Tribolium castaneum: one gene and its partner. The protein of the gene in region 1 interacts with the protein of each later gene in a pairwise test. Links are inferred from orthologs where the notes say so. Each region holds a gene or a part of one and is shown on either strand. Other genes may lie near its edges. The genes, in order: Unr and Sxl.

The links.
Region 2: the proteins of Unr (region 1) and Sxl interact in binary tests that used the Drosophila melanogaster proteins (3 or more experiments, as listed by UniProt). The link is inferred for Tribolium castaneum from reciprocal best matches to the Drosophila melanogaster genes Unr and Sxl.

What each region holds. Positions count from the first base shown.
Region 1 is NC_087394.1:5,366,982-5,370,819, forward strand, and holds part of Unr (cold shock domain-containing protein E1), read left to right. Parts: intron 1-2,461; coding exon 2,462-3,449; intron 3,450-3,838. UniProt on the Drosophila melanogaster protein: RNA-binding protein that acts as a regulator of dosage compensation in both males and females.
Region 2 is NC_087401.1:17,596,360-17,599,658, forward strand, and holds Sxl (sex lethal), read right to left. Parts: upstream 1,793-3,299; 5' UTR 1,714-1,792; intron 1,604-1,713; 5' UTR 1,592-1,603; coding exon 1,311-1,591; intron 1,255-1,310; coding exon 1,057-1,254; intron 993-1,056; coding exon 815-992; 3' UTR 788-814; downstream 1-787. Other genes in the region: GPN-loop GTPase 1, read left to right, coding at 1-66, 116-225; WSCD family member AGAP003962, read right to left, coding at 2,050-2,378, 2,431-2,890, 2,935-3,054. UniProt on the Drosophila melanogaster protein: Sex determination switch protein, which controls sexual development and dosage compensation in females. Sxl protein is only active in females: it is inactive in males throughout development.

The DNA of each region.
Region 1 (3,838 bases):
GCAGAAATCTCAACCTTGCGTCAAAAATTTCAGTGCTATTGCCAAATAGGGACAAAAGTCTCTAGAAAATTGGGTAATGAAAGCAGGATCTTTATTATGCTCTTCTGAAAGGTCAAATTCACACTTTTATGGACTTTGTGTACCTTTCTGCTTTTTTAGGGCGTTATTAATTATTATTGAATGTGTAAGGACAGAGTATTTATAAAAAATAAGTGTGTTTATCACATAATAACTTTTCTATAAAAATATTTAGCGAAATTCTTTTTATTATTTTCACTGTTGTTATTCTTTCCTTTGTGCAAACGAGCCGAAACCGCAACAATGTTTGAGCATTACAGCAAACGTTATCATTATTTTTAAAATCAAATTATAAATTCAAATACATAATAATTAATGATGTCATCATAACTGGAATCTAATTTGCTTTGGAGTCTGTATTTTGTGTTGCATTTTTTACTTGCTCGGTTCTGAGTCTAATGTGAATAACCCTGTATTTTTATTTTTACTTGAATTCTGCAATTCGGGATTAAAATTTACTAGACATTTCGGACGTGCCGAAAACAGTAACGAAATTTTCGTAATTCTTCATTTAATCAATTATTTAGCAATTCTGCGTGTATACTGTTAATTTTTTACAATTTAGAGAAAAATATTAAAAATATTTTAAAATATAAAATATATAAAATATGTGTTGGTAAATACTAGCGTTGTCTTTGGTTGTGCGCTTTTTCGTGATTATAAAGTTTTTTTTGTTGGAATTTGAAAGTGGATAAAAAGTGAATAAGATTTTATTTTTGATTACAAAGTGTTATTAATACAATTGCGTTATCAAGTACTATAAGTATTATTGAAGTGATTTTTTTTCCACTGAAAAAAAAAAAAACATGAAATATTGAATCTACAAAGCTGCAATTAAGATCAACAACTGTTGATACATTTAAGCATAAATTGTTCCAAAAGGTTAGGCTGTTGAATGTCAAGATACAAATCATTTCGTGTAATAAGTGTAAGTCCCAAAATTTATACAACGCTCCAAACATGCGAATAAAAATTTTCTCGCCATTTTTTCAGCTCAGTGGCGCTCCCAATGGTAATTTTACTACCAAATAACCCTTGATTACCGCTGATGCCATAATTTTTTTGTATTTTATGTAATAAAGGATAGATAATACAATACACTGCTCGCTTTAAAATTCCAAAGAATGAGACAAATAACTTACTAATTATTTAACAAAAATTAAATACCGGGTTCGTCAAGTTTTACACTCAGGCACTTCACCTCTTAGAAGAGAGAAAAAAAATAGGAAATAAGTATATTCCACTGCACTGATATCCAATCTCGCTAGGAAAAAAAATATTTTTTTTCTATTGATTCATTTGTCCAATAAAAACGAAAAAAAACATTTGACCAAAAAATCACATTAGCTTTTTTTTACATCAATAGATCGGAAATACGAAACAAAATTAATCTGCAAAAATTTGACTTGAAAAAAATTGTTAGAATTGGATTAAAAGCCATTTTGATATTATTCATCGGAAATTTCAGTATAATTTATGAGGGACAAGATTGAGTAGTAATAAATCTTCGCTACAAAAGGATCCACTACCTACCCCAATAACAGTAATGACTGAAATTTTACAACTAGCGGCACGGTCCCATCGGGCGGTTTTAAAGCCAGGACCGGAATAAGTACACTAACGTGTTTAAAATGTTTTTATTAAAAAATTACATCAGAAGTTCAAATTGATGACTATTTTGGTCTAAGCACGAATTCTTCGTTTACAATTCGCATGAACTCTTGCCGTAAGATTTAAAGATTAACATTCCATTTAGAGTAAACAGATAAAATAAATGGTAATCCGGGCCTGAAAAATTCTTACCAGCTGCCTCAACCTTCAGACCCACCAATGATCGCGTGCCAATTTTACTACAAATGTAATAATTTTTTTAAAATCACCATCCTGATGGAGACCTTTTGTGGAAGTGATTTACAATTTTACCAAAATTCATGGGAAAAAAGCTGCCCCAATATCAAACAGAAATTAAAAATCAACGACACATTTTCTCAAAAATCTAATTAGGCACTTCGATACACTACCTCAAAATACACCTATGGACCAAACATCGTTGACATTAGACTATAGTTAACTAAGCGAAAGTGAAAAAACACACCATACAAGTAATCATTTTAAAAGTTGGTCAAATCGTTCTTCTATACAATAAAATCACATATGATTTTTTTTAGAATTTTATATAAATTACAAAGATGTGTAAAACTTGACGAACCTGGTATTATTGTATGGATGATTCCTGAAAATAAACTGTTGTAATAGTATTGATTTACGAATAATTAAGTTAAAAAAATTAAAAATTTGAGTGACAAATGCATTTTTGTCTTTCATTCGAAAATTATGAAGCGTTTTTTGTTCTTCAATTTTTACTACTATTTTTTATTCGTAGGGGCAACTTGGGGGCATGCCACGTGCGTCTCGAGAACCCAGCCCACCCAGTAAAATACCAAGGCGTCGTATGTTCAATGAAAGAAAGTTTCGGTTTCATCGAACGCGCCGACGTCGTCAAAGAGATCTTCTTTCACTTTTCCGAAGCCAAGACCAAAGAGGAATTACGCTTAGGCGACGACGTCGAATTCACCATTCAAACGCGCAACGGTAAAGAAGTCGCCTGTAACATAACCCGTCTACCTTCCGGCACCGTCATCTTCGAGGACCTCAAACCGGAAATCCTCAAAGGCCAGGTGCTGAAGCCGCTAGATCGGGGCCCCAATGCACGCCACCAAACGGACGCCCTCCCGGGGCGCATCCGCTACCGGGCCCCCGACCACTCCGAAGTGGAGATCTCCTTCGGAGACAAGGACCAACGTGGGGACTTCACGCTGCGTCATGGTGATTGGGTGCAGTTTAAAATCGCAACGGATCGTCGAGATGGACTCAATAGAGCGACGCATATTTCGCTTTTGGACGAGAGTTTTCTGGTGTCGGGCGAGAAGCGGGAGCAAGGAGTTGTGGCATCGGTGAAGGAGGGGTTCGGGTTTTTGAAATGTGTGGAACGTGAGGCTCGATTGTTTTTCCATTTCAATGAAATACTGGATGTGGATAGAGAAGTGGTGGTGAATGACGAGTACGAGTTTACTGTCGTTCAGGATCAGACCAGTACGTTTTCGAATAATCGACAAAGTGCCATTAGAATGAAGTGGTTGCCGCATGGAAGCGTGCAGTTTGAGACGAGAGTTGAGAATAATTTGACGGGGACTGTTTTTAAGGAGATACCGACGACGACGTGGTTGAATCGAAGTCCCACGAAGAATCAGAATGGAGAACATGCTCCCGAATCGGGGTTGATCACTTATCAAGTGAACGGAGTCAAAAAGACTTTACCATTCTATTCGAAAGATTGTGATATGAAGCATTACCCGAGGCTTGGAGATAAGGTAAGGATGATTTTTAGGGGAAAAAAATCGATAAATTGAGTGAGACAAGTGACATACACAAAGTGTCAGTAAGTTAGACGATTTTTTAACAAATTCCCCAAAATAACATAAGTAAAAACCACAAACATTATTATAATAATAAAATAGCGGAAGAATAGGATTACAATTTACATTACCAGACAATATACGATATACGAACGACGCGTCATAAAATATTCTACGAGAAGATAGTAAGGATAGTCCTAAATAACTTAAAATGTTTATATAATTATTTTTGTCATAAAATATGTTAAATTTGTAACATACAAATTTAACAAATTTTTTCTGAACATTTTCAATTCGATTAATATGAACATTATAACAAGGTTGCCAAATAATTGTGCAGTATT
Region 2 (3,299 bases), on another chromosome or scaffold:
GACATCCAGGTAATGACAGTAGTGAAGACTCTGAGGGTGAAGAACAGGCGGCTCCATATCAACAAAGTAGGGACTTGTTTGATTAATTTATTATTTGATTTGATTCTTTTATTAGATGTTGATAATGAAAAAGAAGACGATGTGTTTAAAAAAGTGCTACAACAACAAAGAGAAATGCAAGTGAAAAGGGCAAAAGAAGCAGAGATGAAGAAACACCAAACCTAGTAGGTAATTTATTAAATAAAAGGAAAAAATATAGAAAACAACAATTAAAATTTTATTCACTTGAAACTAGAAATAAATTACAATAAATTATTCAGATCGTTGGTTAAGAAAAAAATTAACACATTTTGTGTGTCAAAAAGAAAAAAAAAACCATAGCTGGTGTTAAGTTTTTTCTTAGGCACATCAATTGCGTACATATTTTTTCCTATTTTATATAAATATATATAATAATAAATAAATAAATGTCTATTGTATTTAGCGTTCAACATACAATTAGTTGGCACGCTTTTCTATCAATATAAAAATAAATATAGAAACTTTGTAAAATAAAATCAACTCTTCAATTAACACAAAAACCATTCTCAGTCAGAAACAAAAAAGAAAAAATGAAGCAATTAACAAAAAAACGAATTTTGTAGATAATTATCGCCTGCTCCCATATTTCTCACATTATTCGAATTATAATTTTGGAAGCGATTACGGTTTTGTAAATTATCAGGCGGCTGTGGTGGCATTTTCCTGAAGGGATTCATTGTCCCTCCTCGAAACGGTGGTACAAAACCTAAACACCCGAAATGCCAAAATTAAGTCAAAACCTCCGTTTCTTACCCCTGTTGTGCATTGAAAAACTCCAATTTTCCAAATATTGAGCTTTTTGACGGCCGTGATCTTCTGCTACGCGAACACTCAACGGAAGCATTGCGTTTTCAAGCAGTTTGCCATCAAGGTCGGCTATGGCAGCTTTGGCCTCTTCTCCTCGCGAAAAACTAAACGAAAAACAAATTATTATTTACAAAGTTTTAATAATTATTATTATCATCATTATTATACCGGACAAAGGCAACTCCACGTGGCATTCCGGTAATTTTGTCCTTTAAAACGGACTTTTGGATGATTTCTCCATAGTTTGAAAAGAGTCTGTGAACATCGTCCTCAGTCACGTCTTTGGGTAAGTTAGTGATGTATAAATTGGATGCTTTCATATCGGCACCTGGAGGACGCGAATATGACACTTTCAGGCGTTTGTTTCTACAAGACAATAGCAACAGTAATAAATACAGTTCTAATCTTAAATTTTCAATTACTTGTAATTCATTCCGTTGATAACTTGAATCGCTTTCGCGGCATCTTCTTCGTTGAAATACTTGACAAAACCGAAACCGAAACTATAGCCCGTATTATAATCTCTCATTATTTTAATACTTTCCACTCGTCCGATGGGAGTGAAAATTAGAGCTAAATCCTCTTCAGTTGCGAATTGTGGGATGTAATTAACGATAAGTTTCGATTTGTCACATTCGACTTGATCTCCGGCCCCCACATTTAAATCATTTTGGGGGCCGTTGGCGGCGTTCTCTTGTTGCATCTTTTCAAAAAACTGAAACAAAATGGCCATGTGTCATTTAGAGGTTAGGAGGATGAAATCGAGTAAAAAGTACGACAAAAACATAATCATTTACTGGAAATTGGCGGGATAAAGGGGCTTACCTTTGTTTATTGAAAAAACTTGAAAAATAAATAAACGAACTAATTTTCTACCACTACAAACTTGATTATTTATTGATGATAGTGGGAACAGAATTACCAACGTCGAAAAATGATAAATCACTTTACGAGTTCAGCGATTCTCAACCTTTTATTATTATTAATGTAAATTCAAATTTGAGCAATGAAAATAAGTCGCAAAATTGTGTTTGTATAATTTTATTTTAGGCCTATAATCGTGTGTTGATTGCCACTGTTTACATGAATAAGAGAGATACTAGAAAAATTTGGCCACTCGTTTCGTTTTAAAAAGGCCTTATTGTCGCAACAACGTTGTTGTTAACTCGGCGTCGCAAAATTATAAATCGCCTCGTAGACTTTTTTTTGTATTTTATCCAGTTTTCGTTTCATTTCGTCCGTATATGGATCGAAATTGAGCACTCGACGTTTCCTCCTATAAATTCCTTCCTTTCGTTCAAGTGCACATTTGAATAAATTTTCATCCGTTGATATGTCGAGAAAATTTATAATCGTCTTGAGGGTGTGTTCAAGATTATCGACAAGTTGCTCGTAAAAAATTACGTGCGTTGGTCCTGTAAAATTATATAACCAGTCGAGATTGGTTTGTTTCCAAGCTTCGAGCTTATCATTGACGAATTGTTGCCAATCTGATAAAAGTATAAGTTATTAAAAAAATTATCAATACAATAAATAATATACATTTTCCTTTAGTCCGTTTGTATCTATCGGGTGATGCAAATCCAATGTGACCACCGCTTTGTCGGTTAAATTCGGCTTGGATCGCAGCTGCCGGTGAACGAACCAATATAATCGCTTTCGAAAAGATTTTCCGAGCATTGTAACCCCATTCGTGTGTTTTTACGACAAGAACCGAACCGTTGGCGATATTTTCGGCGGGAAAACCATTTTTCAACAAACCGTAATCTTTGTAAACCGAACCGGTGTAAAAACCGGAAACTTGTTGAAGTAAGTAACGTAACCATGTATTTCCGCTTCCCGGAAATGATACCAAGGCGACGGGTGGTATAGCTGGATGGATGTATTTCAGCTCTGTGGAACACCATTGGATTTTGGAACGACCACGAAGAGGTGGTCTAAGTCCTGGTATTCCATATTCATAGTTTTTTAGACGGGAAAAGGGCTGATTACGGTCCGTTTGCTAAAAACAATTAAATAACACCAATAATTATCATTTTTACTTACTTTTCCGTGTGTTAAATTTTTGGGTTCATGTAGAGTGACCGCTGATAGAAATAAGACGCCTGCTATATATAAAAACAACAATATTGCCAAGATCCAATATCTAACTCTAGTGACATGCATTTGTCCATTATTTTGATTGGAAATTTAACAATTATTTAATATTTTTCTTTAAACAAAATTCTTATAAAAAATTTATTTATTCGTATTGCTATCAATTTTGTAATACTGTTTGTTGTAAATCGCGCGCGTGATCTTGGAAGCCTGAAAAACACAAACAAATCGATAATCGTAATTGTTTTATTGCCAAACACTCACTCACCTTAAAATTTCTACAATTTTATTCGATTATCCATTGTTTGATGGAA